Linked DNA regions of Lepisosteus oculatus. The protein of the gene in region 3 purifies or fractionates together with the protein of the main gene of each other region. This does not show direct contact. Links are inferred from orthologs where the notes say so. Each region holds a gene or a part of one and is shown on either strand. Other genes may lie near its edges.

Region 1 (7,284 bases), on a different chromosome or scaffold from region 3:
GTGGAATTGTTAAATATCTTTCGGAAGACCCCTCCAAAACTAATCCCCCTAGACATTGACAAGGGGTATGAGTATGGGAGTGTATTTCAAGATTATAGCAATAACCATCTCATGACCCTCAAATGTGATGCAAATGTAATTAGCATCACAAAGAAAGTGCACCAGAGATTGTATTTCCTGCATCAGTTCTCTTTCAATTTTATAGAGCCACTATTAGAACTGAATAGAACTGTTTGGTTTGACAATGCGTCTGTCCACTCCAGAGGCAAACTGCAACACACTGTCCACTGTGCAGACATCCACGGGTTGTCCTTTGCCATCTACTGAAACCCTTTACAAACTTAATGTAAACAGTGAGCAGAAAAGACTGTGAATGACTCCTTTCTCCTGTGATCTCCTAATAAATCGGCCTCGGGGAGATGCTACCAGTCGATCAGAACTAAATCTGCCCACCACCTTAACAGTTTCTGCGAGGTGTACACAAATTATTGATCGTTTCCATCTAGGTTTTAGCACCAAGACACCAGATCAAATTTCTTATATGTGCAACATACTGTACTTGGTAAATAAAGTGATTATGATTTGACATGATGAGGAATTTGATTTCCCCCTCCCTCATAAAGTCATGTGTCTGGTTTTGCAGTCAATGCGTGTTCATGTCCTACCCATGCGCTGCGTGATGCGCTGGATGAGCTGTGCCACCAGTTCCTGCCCAGAACTGATCAGCTCCTTCTCCTGGGTAAGTCGCTCAAGGTTTGAGTTAATGGCCGAGTCCAGTTGCTGCTGCCCATTCTGTAGAGCCCCCTGCTGCTCTAGAAGGGCCCCATGACTTAGCAACAGCTTCTCCACCGAAGAGGCTGTAACCTCCTTCAGCTCCAGTTGACCCTCCTGGAAAACAGGGAAGAAAACGATACTTGATGCACAGGGGAAATTAAACAGGCAGGGAGACTGAGCCTGACAGTCTCCACCTCCCTGATGACCAAAGAGGGGAATAACCTTGTCCATGTCATCCATAAGTGAGAGTAAGGGAGATGAAGTAATGACACAGAGAGGAAGATGTAAAAAGACAGAAAAAGATGACTTTATTGTAGTTAGTTTTGCATTAAGAACATGAGTCGCAGGCAGTAGAAGGCACAGCAAGCCATTTTAGACAGTCAAGGTACAGGGGATGCAGGAATCACCAGTGGGTGAGAGTAGGGTATAGGCCGTTCTTACCTTGAGGGTCTTCATGGCCTCCAGCTGATTGGCTGCCGAGGAGATGAGAGAGTTGACGGTTAACTCCGCCTTCCTGCGGAAGTGCTGCTGGCGCGTGGCGTAGCAGACCGAGCGTGCCCGGTTACTCACGATGTGATATGCATTCCAGGTGTCTGAGTCCATCTCCGCCGTGCACTCTTTGATAGTCTGAATGGGAGAAGAGGAAGGAGATATTGAGGTTAATACTGTCACCAGAGCAAGGGGGTGAGAAAAGAAGGAAATGAAACTGGAGGAGGTGACGGTAAATATTGCCTCACTAGGAAAATAGATCATAAAAAGAGGTGGTTTTAGGTTTGAGACTTAATAAATGGGTACACTGGAAACTAAACAGTACAAGTGATTAAAATGCTTAAATAACTGAACACTGCAAATATATAATATATAATATATGGAACTCTTAAATCCATGCTCCTATTCACGAACTTTCCAAACCCGTCCCTTCAGGACCGTACCATTTCTTCAGTGCAGGGGAAGGTTCTGCGCCCTTCTACCTCTGCTTGGCAGTTGAATAAGACCACGCCTAGCTTGGCCAACTCCTCCTCTGACAGGCTGCTGCATGTTGTCTTGATCTTGGCAATCACCTAAGAGAAAGAACGGCATACTCAGCACCATCTTCTAATGATCACATTGATAATGTTCTGGAACTACACTGGGAAACGTTCGAGAAGTCCTCCTCTTCTCCAGTGAATCAACAGACTGACAGCACTCAGATCCAGCTCCTTGCACACGGAAACCAGACTTTTACAACTCAGCTGCTATCTGCACCTCAGACAACATGACCTGAGACAACCAATCATCATGTCAAAAAGCTACATTAATTGTTAAACTATAACTTTGAACTATAAGCAGCCAGAAAAATTGGTGCCATTTCTGCTTGTGGAATATAGATGTGTAAAATGCTAATGGAATCATATGAAGGTTTGCATTTCTATATTCCTAAAGATTCAGACAGACAGGTAACTAGTATACAGACACAAAATCGGGACCCTTTGAAGATGGATCCATGCTCAGAAAGACTCTGCAAGGGGCACAGACTCAGCCGGTTACCCGATAATGGCAGGTGTCCAAGGGGCTCAACTCCAGCTGTTTGGCCTCGGCCAGGAAATGCTCATCGGCGACACTCATCTCGAAGGGGGGAGGCGCCCCTCCTTCTGCCTCTGAGAAGGAAGGTGGAGGGGGGGCTGGGCTAGGGGCTGCCTTCTTTGTCATCCATCCAAAAAAAGCCCTTGCAGGCCTGACGTGGGTGCAGAGCCCCCAGAGAAACAGCGCAGACATTAAGCGTAGGCCAGCAGCCATGAGCATCATCTGGGCAGTGAGAGAGAGAAGGTCCCTTGTAAATCTATTTCCATTTCCAGCTAAATCTCAAGTTCATTTTCTGAAATTGTGGTTCCATGTTGGGGGGGAATAGGGTTTCCACATTCTTCTCTCTTCTTGAATGTATTAACTATTCTTTATCTTGACATAAAGAAGTCGGCTCTGCAGCCCCAGGTTTTGAAGTCCCTCTTGTTTCATTACAAGAGACCAGTTTTCAGGGTGGTGAGCATGGATCAGAACGCATGATGATTATATTAATGTCTCTAAACTTTTGGAGCAATTAAGGAAATGCTACTCTGCCCTCTTGAAGTCTTCATGAGATATTGCTCCTGTTTCAGGTATGTTTCCTACTTTGTCTCCTTTGTGAAATCCTGTTTCCCAGACCTTTTTGAATATTTTCTAAATGTAAGTGTGAAGAACAAGAAGCATCACACTACAGAGGCTAGTTCTAGCGCTTTCCAACAAGAAAAAACTAAAAGAGAGCTCAAGATGTTCTCAGTGTAACATAGCAGACAGCAAAATAAGTGTTACAGATTAAATAGTCCTGGGATGAAACACAATCCCACTCCACTACACAGAATCCACTGTCCACTCCACAAAACTATGACCCTCAGTTTTGTGATACCTTGTGATGATTTTACATCTTAACTTTTGACTAAGAACCACAATATTAAAATGCCGTCTCAAAATAAAGGAACAAGCTATCATATTGTTCAAGACGATACCCTGCTTCTGTCAAGAAACGGATAGTTGATCCAGGATCTCATCTACTGTATCAGCAACCAAACGGTCTTCTCTCCCTTTATGATGTTTTTACTTTTTTTCTAGTCAGGACATGCATTTAATTCAAAAAGCTTTAACACCAAAACGCATTTGACATATTTTGAGTTAGTTTATTGATTTAAGATTCATAAAACACGAAAAACATTAGTCGTACTTCACTGTTCAATGTTCAACCAGCTCTGTGTTTGAGAATGGCCATTGTCAACCGCGAGACAAATTTAACAAAGAAAATAGAACACCTGTAGATTTTTTTTACCAACTTTCGCTAATATAATTTGGTTATGAATTATAATAATCAGATTTGAGATCTTGTAACTGCGCAATACTCACAAACGACGTGCGTTACACCAAGTTCTGTTCTTATGACTGAGTAGTAACCATTTAGTATTAACATCTGGTATCAGAATGTTAACAACGCCATGTTTTCACATTATTTCAAAATATGTACATATAATTTTCTGTATGATGCTTGCGTTGTTTTTTCCCCTCAATTACTTATAATAGTTACTACCTGGCTCATCCTAGAGGTAATAATTCGAAAAAACGCGTTAAACGATTATAACACAACGCTTACCTCCAGTGGCAAGATATGTTGTACCTTGTAGGCGACAACTGATCCACACAAGAGATACGCCCTTTCTGTTCTACTGAATAGACCTGTAGAAAAAATCGTATTCCAGCTGGAAGCATTTATCACTTCCCGGGAAAATATTTAAATAACCACGGATCAGCCAATCAAATCCGTAATGTGAAAACAGGAAAATTGAAATGCTGAATGGCGCGACCCCTGGCGTCATGTAGCGGAAACAGAAAATAGCATCCATTAAAAGCATATTAATTTGTGGACTCGTTTAGATAATTATTTTTCCAACAAAATGCTGTTTGATTCGTTTAGGATTCAGTGTGAACACTGACACCGAAATAAATACTTCCTTTAAAAGATGGTCATTTTGGTGGAGGAACTATGCATTTTGTCAGGTGCTGTGTGTTGCGAAGAGTCGCTTATCTAGTGATGCGGCTACACATTTGATGTTGTTTTATTTTCATCTACGTCTTTCTTATAGTGTAACTATCCTTTTATTTTAAATTAAGCCGAGGTCTTGATTCTATAAAGTAAATCGCTATTAATAAATGGCTTAATAAAAGACGTCAACTTTTAATAATAAATCGATTAATCTGAAAGTAAACAAGGAGAAAGTACATGGTCGGCCATACATTTTTGCTCCTCTACTTATCTCCGACCAGAACTCGAGGTTATATCATGGTTGTCTAGCTGAAAGACACGTGTATAGTATGTATATATTTATTCCTGGTTCGTAAAGAGCTGACTCGATTTTGCGTGATTATTGTACACTCGATTCTTATTTCTTTCCCCTCGGTTATTAAAAATAAATAGTTAACTGATAACTTATCTGTGGGGGTAAGGTATCACTGCAAATATATTGAACGATTTACTAGACTGAGGTATCCATGCTTGGATAAGAATAATACCACATTTTTATTACAGATTTTGCATCCAGTTTATACTAGATCCACTTTATTGCCGATGTATGGAATTCCATGATTTAATTTTAATTTGACTACTGAGGCGTTGACGTTAAAATGCATTAATATCACCGCGGTAAACGTCTGCAAAACATTGACAGTTGCGGGTAATGTCTTAAAGTTATGGACCAGACGGTTATTTTCATGTGTAAATGCTACAGTTTCCTAAAGCAGTTTTATAAATAATACAAGTTGTAGCAGATCGCAGGTTTCTCGCTGAGTTACTTGGTGTTTCACCAGTTTTCGAGTAATTTTTACACAGGAGGGAACTAGCGTGATTTTATAGAAAAAAATCAGTTGTAACATTGATTTTAATTTTCTTTTCAGATTTGGAGATGGAGCCAGATTTGTCAGATCTTAAAATTGGCTTCATTGGAGCCGGGAACATGGCCTTTGGAATAGCTCAGGGGCTTCTGATGTCAGGTGAGACCTCTTTCCTCAGTGTCGCAAGGCATCTTGGTAGAGTTTCTGCCTGCAATAGATGACTGTATGCTAAATCCCGCATTTTCGGGGCTTAAAGTTTGTCGTGAGACGTTCCTTTAAATTTCCTTTTTTTGGTAGATTTGCCTTCCCGGTTATAAATAATATAACTCTCATAAGTGGAGGCATCATCATCTGGATTTTTATTACAATTCTCTGATTCAGTCTTTATTTTAAAATTGATTTCATTTTTAAAAAGCTAAGATTCGTATTTGGTATAAACCCAAAGCTAATTAATGGGTTTCATAAAGTCCCTCATTCAGGTGTGCCTGCTGAAATCTAACCAACTGGCAGAAAGAAAAACGCTGACACAGTGTGAGTATCTGATAGTGTCATTCCCATCACCTATTAAGAGCTGCTTAGTCAAAAACTAAGGGAGCCAATGATGCTGTAGAAAGCTCTCTGTGTTGGCGTTGTTGGAAATAATGACTCTCTTTTAAAAAAAAACAAGGCATGTGTGCAGAAAAGTCTATATACAGTGGTGAAAAAGTTTGTGAACCCTTTGTCATAGCAGCGGTGCTGAATTTCTTCCATTTGTAAACTATCTGCATGACTGTGTACTGATGGAGGGCCAAGTCTTTAGAAATCCTTTTGTAGCCCTTTCTTATGAGTTTCAACAACTCTTCTTCTGAGGTCCTCTGAAATCTCTTTTGATCGGGCCATATTGCACTTCAACAGAATTATGGGCTGAACTGTTACTAATGAGACCGAGCTATAAATTGGTCATTACTGATGATGGGGTCAGTCGGGCTGGGAATAAGATAGATGTGGACACAAGAGCTGACTAATGCCTGTGTGATATTTTTAATATGGATGGGAAAAATGTAGGGCCCAGGATAGTATCTTTTGTGACTCCCTTAGTACCTGACAGAGGTTGTGCAACAAATCTAACATGTTTTACACACTGTATGTGTATTTTACATACACTTTTGTGTACTGAATTGACCTAATTTAAGCTAATTTATTATTAAATTATTTTTCTTATACCCACCCAATTTGGAAAGTTAATTTTATGTTGTTTGACATTTTTCCTGGGAGATCCAAGCCCCCTGACTGTACACTGGGGAGAAAGAGGAAGGCTAGACAGATTCCTCTAGCCCACCTGCCTTTGTGTCGCTAGTCTTTTAACACCTCACATTCAGTATAGACCTCTTGTCGTGGCTACAGTGCCGATGGGAGGAGAGGTGCGTCTCTCACGCCCCACATTGTGGGCTAGCTGGCACCCAGGAGCCACAGGGGTCACTGTGTGCTTGGGAGCTGAGAGAGCCCTGGCCAACTATACCTTACTACCAACCCGGTCCTGGTGACAGCCAGCTAGTGACATGACCAGTGGTCAGGAGAGCCTCTTTACCAGTGAGCCACTTGGGAGGCCCAGTAAGGAACTTCTGAAACCAAGCAGAGGATTTCATATCAAAAGCGGTACTAGACAGCATTTATAAGACTGAATGATATTGAAAGTGTGAACTTGAGTGACTTGAGTGAGAACCTTTGTCATATCCTTACAACTTTCAAGGCTGCAGTAACATACCTGTGCCCTGAACGAAATCAAACTGCATCTCAAAATATATTTGCTGTATAAAAGAAGATTAACAGCTTGTTTAGATTTTTTCCTGATGTTAGAAGCCCAAAGCACATTGGATATATTGCAGCCCTACAATAATTAGGGTCTGACTTAAGGTTAGGCTGAGAGGGTGTTGTTTAAATGTAGCTATTGTTAGTTGAGACTGAAGAGATTATGTTCCTGCTTCAAATAATATGCGTCTGGATCCTTAGAGCATATTTAGCATTTTTTTTAGATGATAGCATGTCTATTCTGTGCTCTGCAAGATAATGCAACACATATGCCATCAATGTGCTCCATTCATCCCTTGTTTTCCTGCAGGTAAAGTGCAGCCCGCAAATGTGATG
Region 2 (7,334 bases), on a different chromosome or scaffold from region 3:
AATGAGAAAGTGAATTCAGAAGGAGATCTGGATCTCTGCACTGATCTGGCTTTTGTGTCGTTTTGGCTCATACCTGCACGTGTCGTCCCCTTCTCCCTCCAGGTCCAGGTGCTTCAGGAGCCCGTGGATCTCCTCCACCACCTGCTTGCGGTAGTTCCTCACGGCGGCGTTCCCCGACACGTCCAGGGCGTCCAGCTCCACCAGGAGCTCGGTGAGCACGCGGGCGAGGTGCGCGCAGCTGTCCCCGTCGCCCAGGCCCATCAGCAGGGCGATGAGCTCGCTGCGCGCCTGGCTCACCCTGGCCATCACCATGTTGATCCTCTGCACGGCCGCGTGGGTGTCCTCGGACAGCGGCAGGGGCAGGGTCTGCCGGCGGGTGCGCCCCTCGATCACGTCCTGCACGGCGCACACGCGGGTCAGCGCCCGGTACCGGGCCTTGCGCAGGGGCACCCTCCCGCCCGTCTTCACCTGGGTCAGCCGCAGGACCAGGTCCTGCAGGCTCTCCACCAGCTCGTCGCTGATCTCCCCGGCGCCCGCCCTCTGGGGCTCCAGCACCCCGGCCTCCACCAGCCGCTGGGCCTCCTGGCTCAGCCCCTCGATGGCCAGGCGGGAGGGGTGGGCCGAGTTCTCCTCCAGGAGCCGGAGCAGCCCCTCCACCTCCTGGGCCGCCCGCTTCCGGGCCTGCTGGACCTCGGCCTTGCCCTCCGTGTCCACCGCGTCCACCTCCAGCAGCTGGCGGGTCAGCTCGCGCTCCAGCCGCCGGTACTCGCGGTCGCTCTGCAGGCCGCTGAAGGAGCCCACCTGCTTGCCCAGGCCCTGCACCTCCCGCTGGACCTCCTGCAGCCGCTGCAGGCCAGGATGCTGGCCGCCCGTCTCCATGCGCTTCCCACCATCAAAGGGCTTTCCAAACAGGCTGCGGAGAAGGGGAGGGGGGGGCAGGGGGGGTCACCACAACAGCGTTCGCGGCAAACTACAACGGGAGCCCCGTGCAGAAGCTGGAGGGGCTTAAAAAAAAAAAAAAAAAACTCTGCGGCAGAGAGCGCAGTTGCCTCCCAGCTCCTGGGTCAGATTCCAGACGGAGGCATCTTCCGTGTGGAGTATTCAGTTCTCCCCCCCCCAACAGTCCAAAGACCCCACAGTCCAGGTGAACTGGCATCTCTAAATCGCCCCTGTACGTGCGTGTGTGCGTGTGTGCGTGTGTGCGTGTGTGTGCGTGTGTGTGCGTGTGTGTGTGTGTGTGTGTTCCAGGGTGTTTCCTGCCCTGCCTGGCCCCCGTGTCTGCCCACCACTGCCCTCCAGGGCTATAGAAAATAGCTGATGGGTGGGATGATGCAGTAAAGACAGAGAGGCTAAAGAGGGGGCAACTAACTTCCCGGGAGTACGTTAATTTGAGCATTTATCTATTTTTTAACAGATTACAAGCAACCTACTACTTCAGAGGCCTGCATCACCCTGTTTTTCACAAGGGTGGGCAACATCTGTCTAGGTGAGTAAACCATCATACTGCCTCACGGGGAAGAGCGATATCGAAATATCATCTAAAGATTTTGTTTGGTAGGAAATACGGCGATTGATTAAAAACAAAACCATCCTGTTTTGAACAAAGGGAAAGCGCTCTAACCTTGAGAAGACATGTCTGTTTAGTTCCCATTAGAGATAACATACAGCCAGAGCGATACACACCTTTGTACCTCTGTGGATACGGGGATTACATCACAGCTTTTGCGCAAATAACTCTCTGGCTGGGATTTATGGCTCAGTACACAATCCCTCCCCCAAGAGAAGCCGCCACACCTAACATCGAAATAGGATTAAAACAGCCCCACCAAACACTTTCACCATCCCAGCCAAAGGAATGCTCCTCGCCGAACCCCTGAACGCAGATTACAAACCAGCCCACTCTTTGTTTAGCAATCCGATCTCCTGCATTCGACGAGGAACATGTTCACACCCTGGAACCCACTTGCCTCGCTGTTGTTTCTTTCCCCCATTTCGAAGAAAAAAATGGTATTCTGTTCAGCTTAGCTTTTTTTTTTTTACTTTCCCAACCCCAGATACTTCGCTGCCTGGGAACATCAAAGGCAGTCCCGTCGCCCCCGCCATCCGGGAATCTTATAAAAAGAAACCTAAAAACGGAATTACTTACAAACGTGGTGGATATGCTGGCAGATGAAGCAGGCTAATTTGCGTTAGAAATCTTGTGCTAGAGATCTCCCAGCTCCCAGTGGGAAACACTAAGGCTCGGAATAGTCCTCCAGACGCTCCAGAGCATTCCGCTGCTCCGTGACCACAGGCATGCCCATTCCCAGATAAGCAGGTTATGTGGCCGTGTTGACACTGCGAGGGTTCTGGGGACTGAAGAGCACTTTCCTGGCAGGCTCCACTGCAGCTGCCAGTCTGCCGATGATGCGAGTCTTTGATGTCATAAAAGATTTGTTCCTCGTTTTCTGCCGTCTTAAAGGAGACAGCGTCCCCGTCACCTGCCCCATTCACAGTTCACACCGTGTGGGTGTCTGTGTGTGAGCATGTGACCCCACCCACAAGGATCACGTGTCCTGTTTGGCAATGTATTTAATGTATTTATAAACATTCCTTTGAAAGGACGCTTGTTTAACAAGAGAGCAAGGAACTGGCATTGTGGTCATGTTTAAAATGTAAAGAATCTTGGTTTTGCCTATCTGTTCATGTGAGACAGGAATAATTGATCGCCTCATGTCTCACTATTTTTTTTTGCATCCAAGCAGCTATGTTTTGCACACACAGAAACTTACAATACGGATGGATAGTACAAACAAACATTAAAAAATTGTAAATAAATATAATATTACCTAAAAGACATCAACCCAAAAATACTTATTCCACACCTCTCCTGCAGGAATCCACAGTTTCTCCCCCTCCACAATCACCATACTGCATGTCACTTTGTACAACAGAGCTGACACGCGTGAACAGCATCTGACTCCTAGCACCAAAAACCTGTCAGTGGCAGAGAGAGGGAATTCTCTTACTCTCCTCGTGCGGGTCATGTGCCAGCACTGTGATATCGCACCTGGCGTCCTGATGGGATGCATGAACAGCAGGTGATGGAGACGCTCAGAATCACAAAGTAATTCAAACGGCTGTCTCGCCAACCTTTATCGCTGCAACCTGCCCCGCACACCTCAGATAGCGTGGAAAGACAACCAGGAACAGTTACATTTCCACTCGGATGCCTCCCAGTAATATTCCACGAGTGCAAACCTGACAGGAGGAATAGGAGCATGCATGGATAGAGAGAACCCACAAAGTAGCACCAAGGCTTTTTAAATATACGCTCGATGCCATCACAACCTCAATTAAAACTGGCACTTCAATCAAGAATTCAGGGGGAGCGATAGAATAATGCCCGCTAGAAATATTCGCCATTCCTGCGGTACACACGCGTCCCTAATTCAGTCCCAGCGACGGCCTGCTCGCTCACGAATCGATGGCGCTGAATCCCGCTTACCTCCGACCCCTAGTGAACTCTGAAGACATGGAGGATGATGCTTGGTTGGCATTTAATGGTCAAACGTTCACCTCCCCGCAGCTGAGAAGAGGACACAGGGGATGGATTTATCTATCTATCCGTCCATTACCAGAAAACGTGGCTGATGCAACCCGGGATTTGTCCTGGGAGCCCAGGGTGCAATATGGGACTATAGCTTAAACCCCAGTCTAGGCCATCACCAGGTAGACCCACATGGAGGCAGGGCTTGCAGACACCTCGTGACCTCATCAGCCTGTCTTCGGAAGGTGGGAGGAAATGGGTATTGATGAAAACCCAATGTGGACATGGAGAGGGAATGTGCAGACTGGACCTGGAGGGGAGCCCATACTGGAATCAAACCCAAGAGCCCCGAATAACCAGCAGTCACACTACCGTACTGTGTCCACGGATGTGTCCGCGTAACAGTAGGTTAGAAACGATGTTCAGATCACTGAACGCACAAATCCCATGGAGTATGGCCACATGAACACCACTTCTGCTACCACCCATCCGGAGTTTCACAGTCAGTAAGAAAGTCGTAGAACTACTGCACCTTCATTCACAGAGACACTGTAAGGTCTTCACCTCAACCTCCGCAATCGTAATCCGCAACTTCCTCTGAAGTCTATCAATACTGCTTCAGGCACAATATTGCCCAACTGCAGCTTGTTCACACAAGACAAGTGCAGGATTCTGCGTGCAGGCAGCAAAAAACAAAACAAAAACAAAATGGAAAACACTGAGATAGATGAGGCTGCTTGTAAAAGGTTACAACAGGACTGAAAAAGAGGACGTCATGTAAACGTTTTCAATTTTAAACTCGTTAAAGATGATCTTCATTCCTCTTCTCGCTAGTGAAGCTCTGACATTTTTTATCAGACAGACAACAAGATCTAAACTGCTGTCCACCAGTTCAGGACTCGTTCTGAAGACGATCGAGTTTTTTTTTAAAAAGGCACAGCGAGATCATCTGTGAGCACTGCTTAAGAAACGATGTAGCTTCCTAAAGCTTTAACTTCCATTTTCCTCCGCGGAAACGTGCATGCTGCCCAGACAGAAAACACAAAGGTAATTACATTTGGTGGCACTTAATGAGTTATTGCTAATGCGCTCTGAGGAATACTTCATTAAAGTCTTCATATATAAACGAATTTTCTCGTTATTACCTCGGCTCGTCATTGATTGGTTAAGGGCTACCCTGTTACCGCGCACAAACATTAAGACACCCTTAGTTTTCTGTTTTGTAGCGCATCTCTTTCTTACTTTGATAACGCCAGTAGTTCGCTTTTTTTTATCGTAGTGTCATCTGTAAAGGTTACGTCAAAATGGTTGTTGTGACATACTGATTGACAACCGACTGAAACCCTAACGCATGTGCTCTCAAATTCAAACTCAAGGGCATGGCCGATAAATTCACAGCGCTGCCAAAGCACAATTAACGCTCTCTCCAACACCAGAGGCCTCGGAGGGGGCTATCGAGGCCGTCATGCAGGTGAAAATCTTAGTGCCACCAAGCTCATCTCCTACAGCACCATCACCTCTCTGGGCGACAGGTGCACCGAGCGGCACGAAATCAAATCTCTGGCCCTATAGCGAAAGGATGGCTTCAACCTGTGCAGTTTGTAAGAGGCGCCCTGCTCCGCACAACCTGAACCATTTTTTTTTCTTAACGATAAGCGGATGACAGCTGTGAATCTGTCCCGGACGGGTAAGTAGCCACGGTATTGCATATCTACCGTACGGTGCATTCTCACTGCCTAAAAACAATGGCACTGCCCTTACGTTTTCTGTAGCAGAGCTCGGCTCAAATTCAAATAGCAACACCTCGCTGAAGCGAAACGTGTATCACACTGTCAGCACTAGACCTGTTGGAAAACGTCTCCGATGGGCACCCTTGATCGCTTTACAAAATCCGAAATCATCCTTAACTGACACTGCTACATCTTTTTTTTACTGATAACAGCAGGTCCTTTCAAATCCTTTGTCAACAGTAAGAATTTCGAGAAAGGCTGAGAAAGAACTGACTGACAGCGGCGGTAACAACCTCACCCATGAGTAAAAACAAAAAAGGCAATTCCAGCAATTTACGCTTGAGGTATTCCGTACCAAAGAAAGGGGTCAAGGGTAGCGGTGTGCGTCTTACCTGCATAACCAGCGGACAGCCATCAGATCGGTAGGGGAGGAGAGAGAAACGCACAACAATCCTCATCGCACGGCTCCACTGCCGGGAGAAGAGTCGGGCCGGCCGAGTGACGTCACGACAGAGGTCCGCACACGGAACGGTCCAAGTGTAGAAATCCCGAAGTTCCATGGACCCTGATGTGAGACAGTATCACCCTCGCTGTCGCCGCAGTAAATATCTTTGAAAGAGACAATTACTCTCCGCAAATCACCTCGAAAAGAATTGAAAACGTACCCCTCTCTAACCCCATTTACACACCTTCCACTTTTAATCTTGTCGTTTTAAACAACAACTCGCGTCATTGTTTTCGACATATTTGCTTTGTGCTATACAAGTTGTTTTGAATTCATAAAAAAAAATCAACCCACTACTGATAATGCAATATATAGTGTAAACTCCACCAAAACTCTTGAATTTGCACGATAAAACGAAACTCGTGATTGTGGATGGTTACAAGTGCAAGGGGGCGCTGGATTTCCGCGTAAGGATTTTGTTGTCCAGCCTCTTAAGTTCACGGGGTAGTCACGTGGGGCTCAAGTTCGTGGGTTAAGTTGCTTCTGGAAGAGGTCAGCGAGTGGAGAAGAGGTTTGAAGGAATAAGGCAGAGATGAGTATAAAATTGTCAGGAATTCGGACGTGGCGATCGCTCCATCACGGTAAACTGACGTATTCCCGGTATGCAGCAGGTGTTTTGTCGGGACGACTGAGATACAGCAGTGAAAGAGAGCCCGTTAAACAGGAGAAGAGGCCAGGCGAGGTGGGAATGGTGAAGTCCAGTATACGCTGTATATATTTTTATTTTACGACATAACATCGCTTTTTCATATCTTGGAAATTAATAAATGGTTGTGAGCACATTGAATGCATCAGTGTTTAAGATATATCGCTCTGCAGAAGTACTGTAGTTTTAGTCACCCTGAAGTTAAAAACCTCTTTATTACAGTATTGCAGTGTGATTAACATCTCTTACAGACACATTGTTTATTTCAAGAGTCTCCTGAGATGCATCTTCCCTATACAGCAAGCAATGTCTGCAGATTTTAATTGTTCTCTACTCATCCGACCAGACACATTTCCAAGCCACTGGGTATTCCGAAAGATTAAAAAAAGTAGTGTTTTTAGCTTGTGAACTTTTAACTGAAAATGCGTTTAATAATAACTCGTTTCAGCACGGAGCTGCACCTTGTTTATAAGAGTCTCCTGAAGTGGATTCTCCTCCCTGTACTGCACACTCTCCTAACATTTAAATGTTTCTCTCCTGAGATTGTATGTGGCTGCAGGATGCTTTGGCAGTGCAAGGTGTGATTCCCTGCCTTGAATCTCTTGAATATCCACCAGAGCAGTCAGGAAGAGAGGTTTCATGCAGTTGTGAATCATGCTTTTATGCAATGACCTTAAAATAGAATACAGGATAAGAAACAGTACATGCCAGAAGTCCGCTTTAGGTATTGGATTGGCGTGAAAGAAAACCACATTTTCTCTCTCCTGTGATGTCTGCTATATTTAGACCAATTTTAATGAGAGGTTAAAAGGGCAATTTGTCAGTCCACTGTGTCGGGCTTCTGAAATTTGCAGACTGATGGGCCTTGTGTAGTTTGGCCCTCTCTGATTCTCTCTCATAACTACCTTACCTGTATTTGTCTCC
Region 3 (7,685 bases):
ATTGTGTCTTTCAGACCTACCTGACGATCTCCGTTGTGTTTGGGTCCTCAGTTTGGAAAGTATTTAAATGAATGAGAAATGTAGTATCCCCCTTACCCTGGGACAATCAAGAAAGTTTTTTTTTCCCCAATCCAGGTCCCAGAGAAACAGCGTGTGTGGGTTTTCATTCCAAATAATCTCTTAACAAAGAGCTGTCCTATTCTGTTTGTCTCTTTATGTAAAATCATACTATACTTTGTGAGTATGACTGCCTAAAAAGTCTACACCTCTGGACCCATAAGAAGCATTTTCACTTGAAAGCTAATTCATTGTGCATATCCATGGTGAACTCAACATCTAGAAACAAGTCTAATTTACCTGTGTAATTTTTTTAATTTAGATTGAATTTATTGTTAGTTCCAAAATATTTTTAATAATGAGAATATTTTTTTAAGTAAGAGCTGTATTTGATCACTTTTTCTTTTATGGTTTTGAAAGACAAAAAAGAGCAAATTAATGCAGAATTAGTGAGTGCTCCACACTGACAATTGCAGCAGAAGATTGAAAAAAAAAACCCTGTCAATATATTTATGATTTTTGATCATAGTGATTTGTAACTTTACATTCCTCATTTTGCAGCTGGATTAACAACTACTCACTTGTCATGAACATGAAAACTGTGGCCAAAGAAGGCATCTATGTTACTGAACATATTGATATTGGGATAAAGGGATAACAGAGTGTCTTGACTAATTGAGTTAGATTAACTTCAGTTGATTTTCTTCAGTATTTCACAGAGCCTCTAAAATGTGGAAGTGGTGCTTAGTAATTCTCACTGCTCTCTGGAAGCAGGGTGTAACAAAAATAAAACCAGCCTAAAACCAGATATTCAACTTAGGCAGGGGTTTCCAATCCTGGTCCTTGAGGCCCGCAGATCTGCCGGTTTTTAGTCCACCCAAGCTGTCAGTTACACAAGTGAACCCTTAATTGACATAGAAACAATTAATTTTTGAGGTCACCCTTTAACTACTGCATGTTTGAGGTAAAAAAAAACAACAACAACTTGCAAATGTTCCAATTAAGCAGCTTGTTAGATCTGCTTTTCAAGGGTTCAAATAAGTAAGTTCTGCTGGAATAAAAGAATCATTAGGAGTGTAGTACTCCAGGACAAGGTCTGAGAACTTCTGAGATCAAAAAGGGAAAATGGGAAACAGAAATATACATAATTAACTCACAAGAAAGGCGGCACAGTGACATAGTGATGAACCTTGCTGCCTCACAGCTTTGGGGCCTTGATTTCAATTCCGAACCTGGGTGCTCTCTTTGTAGAGTTTGTATGTTCTCCCTGTGTTCACGTGGGTTTCCTCTGGGTGCTTTGGTTTCCTCCCACAGTCCAAAAAAAAAAATTTTGGTAAATGAATTGGCTTCTGGGCAAATTGACCCTGGTGTGGATGTGTATATCTCTGTTTATGTCTCCGTGTGCTCTGTGATGGACTGGTGTCCTGTCCAGGGTGTACCCTGAGTTGCGCCTGTTGCTTGCTGAGATAGACTCCGGCCCCCCTGAGTTCATGAAATGGAAGAAAATGGATTGATGAATGAATGAAAATCCTGTAGCATTGGAAGACAAGGATTAGCCAAGATCACAGACAAGCAACATCTTAGAATCCAGGTGCCAAGATAGAACAGTCCTGCATAATGAACACATAAAAACAGATATAAAAAGGAAAAGCTATGCATTTAACATTTAATATATTCTTCATTTTTATCATGTATAATTTACTGTTGCAGATGCACTTGTAATTTTCATTTAGTTTAGTGTATATGTAAATGAAATGTTTATTTATCAAGTGAGTCTCAGAAACACACAAGCAAAAATAAGAGGAAGAGTAATAAAATGTACTTGGGTATTCTGAATTTGGAACCAAGGAATAACAGAAAATTGTCCGGTCCTTGAATGCTAAGAATATCAAATAGTTATGATATAAGATAACAATTCATTAATATTAAAACTAATTTTTAAACAAAAGCAATTCTACGTTGATAACATCAGTTTCCAAAGTGATAGATTCAATGCTACCATCTACAATGTGTGCTGGGTAGAATAGAGAGATGTGAATAAACAAGTAGAGATTATTTCCCTCCTGAAATGTTTTGGCTGTGGAGACTTCTTCACAAGGACAGAACAGAGACTTATTAAACTACAGCAGTTGCCATTTTCTTTCCTTCATAGGTTCCTCTACAATCCCTTCTGTGAAGTGATTCTTCTTTCAAGTGAGGCTAATACTCCTCCATCATCACTCTAAAACTTCATTCCCTAGGCACACATTATGCCAAGTATGCCATAGGTCCAGTATGCCAATAGTACAGTACTGTCTGACTATCCACATTGCTGCTATTAGAGACCACAGACACTGTCAATAGAAAAAAAGGACATCACTCAAAGTCACTGCTATTTTTAGGAAGTGATCTCACCTCCATGGAGATTTAAGTTTCTGTCTAACTCTTGTTCCTAGAAACTGTTGTCACATTGTTCGTTGTTGTGATGCAGATTTTAAATTGTTCCTGAGAAGATTAATTTGTAAAGGTCAGCTTTAGGCAGATGTCACCTCTTCTTCTATGGGATCTGAAAGGACTGTTGCAGGGATTGGGGTGGTAAGAATGGGCGTATTTGTTTTCATTACGTTGAGTCTGGCCTTGGTGTTTGGTCACAGCATTTCAAGTGGAATGTTATAGTCTTATCCTGAAGGGATGTCATCCCATGTTTCAATAAATAAAACTTATATCATACAACTCAGAAGGCACCAATGGAAACTACATAGACTTGTATATAAAACCAAGAGCAGGAGGCACTTTGTGACACCAACAACACACATCACAATAATAACATTACTGCCACCATGACACCTTAGTTTATACATGTTTTAAGTGCTTTGTCTTTCCTCTTTCACACCCCCGGCAGGATATAGTGTTTCTCTTTAAGGGAAAACTGCTCTGTTATTTTCCTTCTTGATTGCTTTTCATTTAGTTCTATTCAAGTCACTAGATCTTCAAGTCCACTAGAACAACCAATAACTCTTCTCATCACTAACTGTAACAGCTGATCCCATTTGGGATACTTTTCTTTAACCATCACTTGCACCCCTGACATAGCATCCAGCTTCTCACACTTCTCAATCTGTCTGCTGATGCACAGACTTTATTCAGGACACAATCTGTGCAATCCAGACTTCCTCTCAGATGCAGCCTTTCCAAGAGACACAGCAGCGGTCTTACAGGTATCAATACTTCCAGTCAGCCCTGGTTAAGCTGGCCAGCCATGTTCCTCAGCAGCAAACATCAACCCTACTGTGCTTGGCAAACTACCACATCTAACAAACACAGGACAGTGTTCTTCCCTCACTTTTGAGATTTTTGGAATAACATTACACTGCCTCCCTTACTTTTTTTATTCCTTTGGTTTGTTAATCCCTTTCTTAGTTTTCATGTAGCCTATCTGTCCAGCACCTGTAACACTCCTCAGTACAATTTCAAACATCACCAATTAAGCGACATTAAGGCAACCCAATCAGATATGAAAGAGAACTCTCTCTGAATGCTAATTACTCTATCAGACCAGGTGTGCCTCATTCCATAATTTCCCTCCCCAATTAAAAGATGGCTGTCTCACAAAGTCACCTGTCACTACCTCACACAATTCTTTGCCAAAAGGATTCTGAGTATGGAACTACCAAGCCATCTTATTGAAACTGATACAATTTATTTCAGAGGTTCTTAACCTGTGGTGCACAGACCTAATGGGGGTGAGCAACATACCAGATTTTTTAGTAGGTAAATCATCACAAGCACAAATTAAGTACAACTAACTTTGTCTAATCAAACCTACTGTAGGTATTTAAAGGTACTATAAACTTAAAATTATCCTTGAAGACATGCTGTTTTCAGGCCTGTAGATCTTCCCAATTCACTTTATAAACAACTACAGTATGTATAACTTTTTCTAAAAAAGTTTTTGTTTTTTATTTCAGCTCTTAATCAATTGGACAGGTAAGAGATTACCATTAACCTGGTACGATACTCATTTCCTATTAACATTTAAATAACCTTGTAAGTCAACTTGAAGTCCAGTCCATGCAAAAATCAAAGTATAAGATGAGACAAGCTCATTCAGACCATGTTGCTGTTTTGGTTGTCAGAGTAAAGAAAATTCTCATTAAACTGATATTGAAAAGATTGACACTAACTATATAATTATTACAATCCCATGGCACTCTTCGTATGAAAAGGGGATGTTAACTCTGGCAATTCTGCTCTGGAATACGATTTTTTTATGAAAGCAAGAATTCAATTAAATGCAGGCATTGTTGTTTATGTAACATCATCAGTGGACACGCATTATATAAAAATGTATATTAAATGCAAGCAATATTTGTTTTTTACGTGTGGCTTTCGCTCAAAAAGAAGTCACAGAACTATGTTTACGAGGGATGTGTTGAGAACTAGCTGATCAAATGGGGGCGTGGTCTTGAAAGGTTTGTCCGTCCGTGGCGTTGTAGAGGAGGGCGTTGCTGCCTACGCAACGACACTCTGACGTATGACGGGGGTGTGTGCTGGAAGGCAGTATGAGGAAGCATCTTGATGGCGGGGGAGAGTTCTGGAAGTTTCTGCTGTGTTATAAATACTGAAAGCAGGCAGAACCAGCGTTCTGCAGCTTGAGAGAAAGTCGTAGAGAGCTGGTTGCGCTTTATTTTGTTAAGGGTATTGCGTCGTTGGTGTACGTAATACAGGTGTCTGTATATATGACATTGAGATTGCGACTTTTTGTTTATCCTGCGTGGATCTGTAAAAGGAACTACAGTAGGAAACCTTTAGCTGATTCGCGTGACTGCTGTTTGTTCACTGTGACGACGTCGTGACCTTTTGCTTAAAGAGCAACTTGTGTGATTTTCCTCTTGTCGTCTTGTGAGTGTAATTGATCACCGGGGCTGTAATGGGTAAAGATTATTATAAGGTGCTGGGAATCCAGAAGGGAGCCTCGGAGGACGAGATCAAGAAGGCATACCGCAAGCAGGCATTGCGCTACCACCCGGACAAGAACAAGTCTTCGGATGCCGAGGAGAAATTCAAAGAGATCGCGGAGGCCTATGACGTTTTGAGCGACCCCAAGAAAAAAGACATCTACGACAAATTCGGGGAGGACGGTAAGATAACACTTAATTAAAAATAAACTCCACAACAGCAGCATTTCGGCAAGTTTAGGACTAGCAGTGAGATTCCGGGTGTCCCGTTACCTCCATGGAGGACCTCCCACTTCTGAAAACGTTTGACTCCTTGTGATGCCCAGAAAAGCGTTTCTATTAAGATGCCATGGGGAGAGAGCTGTTCCTTAAAGCTCAGTCGCATCAAGCGGATTTGCTGGGTGAATTGCGTTGCATTTTGCAGTCGGTGTTTAGATTTAAAGTCCTTGTGCGTGTGTTGAAAGTGTGCCCGACTCTCCCAGCCTACCGGCATGTTCTGGCAACTTCTGGGTGTGTGTGGCAGCTGATAGAGCCCAAAACCGAAACTAAAGACGTATGATCGACCAGTGCGCTTTCGAAAGTGCTAAGGTGCAGTTTCAGTTAGTGATGGTACTGTTTAACCTTTCTCGTAGTATCATACAGCTGACACGGGCAATCCAATACTGACCGATTGACCCCTGCAGGTAATCGGGTTCGATCTTAACTAGGTGCCGCGCTGGACAGGATACCGCTGTGGACTGTGGAGGCCTGGGGCTACAACGCGCAATCTATTACATTTTGTTGCTTTAAAATATCGATCCCCCTTTTCATATGCCTGTTAAAGGTGGGAAGGCACCACATTTTCTCCGTCTTATGCCCCCTTATTGTCAGACTTTAAACTTGCTGTAGAGTAAGAAATGCAAGTTTTGCTCGGAATCTGGAAAAATGACTGCTTGTTGAGTGTTGGTGAGAAAGGCCCCTTCAAAGTGTGAAGTTGTATTATTTATTTTTTTAAGAAATGCAAACATTCTTGAGCACTGCCGTGTTTCTCTGATGCTTTTCAGTGTAGGGTAGAATATTAAAATGTTGCCTACGTCGTGAGATGTTTTGTGGATCGAGTTTTGCACAACAGCCGATTGGAATCATTAATCGTGAGTCTTGTAATGTTTGTACATTAACCCTTATCTGCCTTAATAATGGCGTTTAAATATGAAAGCATAAAATACAGATTCGTTTAGCATTAACCCGTGTTGGAGGGATCAGAAACCATAACTTCTCGTTAAGGATGATCAGTTAGGGAAGAGAGAACTTAACCTTGTCTCGCTTTGACCAGTCTCGTTTACTTATTTCCGAAACAAGAATTTAAGTCCTAGTCAAAAAATGTTTTAGCCGCTTGAGTAGATATAGAGGTGAGGGTTCCATAGAAAAACAGTTTTCTTTTGTAAGTCAGCTATTCGTGTTATAGACTGATTTGTGGTTGTACTGTAGTTTTGCCATAGTCAGCGGGTAAATGTTAAGTTACGTAAATTTATTAATGTCATTGAATATCTAATACTTTACTTTCGCTGTGTTCTGGCGACCCGGGTGCGCTCAGCCGCTGATTGGCTCAGTACATGCCTCGCGTGCCTTCTGGAAGTTTCTCGCCTGGTCCTGTCTGGGGCTGTTAGAGGCTTACTCTGAGCTTCTGTCGGGATTATACAAGGGCAGGTTTGCAGCAGGGCTTCAGGTGCGCTTTGAACTAAACAACCGTCGCTGGATTTGAGGGCAGAAAGAACTTTTCTTTTAATTGGTGTCCCTGTTCTTGTAGAGTTATCTGATTATTTTACTTATAATTGTTTAACCCTAAACGACACTTTGAGAGGCCACATTTCTGTTGTGATGTTTCAATTTTAAGTGATATGGGCATTAAAGAACAGATAAGAAAGCAGTATTTACAGAATGCCTTCTCAGAGTACCTTGAGTACCATGTACCCTTCATGTACATAAGGTCAAGATGTGCTAAAATAGTCCGAAATAGGCAGAAATCAAGTAATGATTTGTTATACCAGAAACAATTTTCAACAATTTCACTGTTCTTCATACCTCATAATCCTGTGTGAAATAAAATATCCATCTTTTGAATGTCTTTGGTTCTTTAATCAGAAATTCAGTTGCTGCTCAATGGTGCAGCTCTCTTCAGGACAGTGCAGAAAGGCTTGATTTTTCTGACCTGTGCGTAATGTTTTGTGCCTTTTCCCCCCACTCAGGTCTGAAGGGGAACGCTGGAGGTGGCGGACCAAATGGCACAAATTTTAACTACACATTCCATGGGGACCCCCATGCCATGTTCGCAGAGTTCTTTGGGGGTCACAGCCCTTTTGATTCCTTCTTCAGTCGCAACGGGGGTGATGAGGATATGGACATCGATGACCCCTTTGCGGGATTTGGCATGGGGGGGTTCTCCAGGGGCTTCACACGCATGGGGATGGGGGGACGTGGGTCCCGGGATGGCATCGTGAAAAAGCAGGACCCCCCTGTAGTGCATGACCTGAAGGTGACCCTGGAAGAGGTCCTCACAGGCTGCACCAAGAAGATGAAGATCTCCCACAAGAGGCTGAACCCTGATGGACGTACCACCCACACAGAGGACAAGATCCTCACTGTGGAGATCAAGCGTGGCTGGAAAGAAGGCACCAAGATCACCTTCCCCAAGGAGGGTGACGAAACGCCTAC

What was found.
Region 1: the proteins of dnaJ homolog subfamily B member 1 (region 3) and pycr3 purify together in Homo sapiens (affinity purification with mass spectrometry; 3 studies listed by BioGRID and IntAct, with this or other methods). This does not show direct contact. The link is inferred for Lepisosteus oculatus from reciprocal best matches to the Homo sapiens genes DNAJB1 and PYCR3.
Region 2: the proteins of dnaJ homolog subfamily B member 1 (region 3) and bag5 purify together in Homo sapiens (affinity purification with mass spectrometry; 3 studies listed by BioGRID and IntAct, with this or other methods). This does not show direct contact. The link is inferred for Lepisosteus oculatus from reciprocal best matches to the Homo sapiens genes DNAJB1 and BAG5.

The regions. Positions count from the first base shown.
Region 1 is NC_090701.1:27,352,179-27,359,462, forward strand, and holds the start of pycr3 (pyrroline-5-carboxylate reductase 3), read left to right. Parts: upstream 1-4,222; 5' UTR 4,223-4,292; coding exon 4,293-4,329; intron 4,330-4,556; exon of another isoform or gene 4,557-4,642; intron 4,643-4,658; exon of another isoform or gene 4,659-4,815; intron 4,816-4,839; exon of another isoform or gene 4,840-5,003; intron 5,004-5,223; coding exon 5,224-5,319; intron 5,320-5,627; exon of another isoform or gene 5,628-5,691; intron 5,692-7,258; coding exon 7,259-7,284. Other genes in the region: bmb (protein brambleberry), read right to left, coding at 666-888, 1,216-1,401, 1,707-1,835, 2,302-2,559.
Region 2 is NC_090703.1:6,905,472-6,912,805, forward strand, and holds the start of bag5 (BAG family molecular chaperone regulator 5), read right to left. Parts: upstream 3,108-7,334; 5' UTR 3,072-3,107; coding exon 2,865-3,071; intron 2,489-2,864; exon of another isoform or gene 2,455-2,488; coding exon 2,147-2,454; intron 914-2,146; coding exon 74-913; intron 1-73. Other genes in the region: coa8 (cytochrome c oxidase assembly factor 8), read left to right, coding at 6,297-6,446. UniProt on the Homo sapiens protein: Co-chaperone for HSP/HSP70 proteins. It functions as a nucleotide-exchange factor promoting the release of ADP from HSP70, thereby activating HSP70-mediated protein refolding.
Region 3 is NC_090706.1:21,692,497-21,700,181, reverse strand, and holds the start of dnaJ homolog subfamily B member 1, read left to right. Parts: upstream 1-4,581; 5' UTR 4,582-4,966; coding exon 4,967-5,177; intron 5,178-7,219; coding exon 7,220-7,685. UniProt on the Homo sapiens protein: Interacts with HSP70 and can stimulate its ATPase activity. Stimulates the association between HSC70 and HIP. Negatively regulates heat shock-induced HSF1 transcriptional activity during the attenuation and recovery phase period of the heat shock response.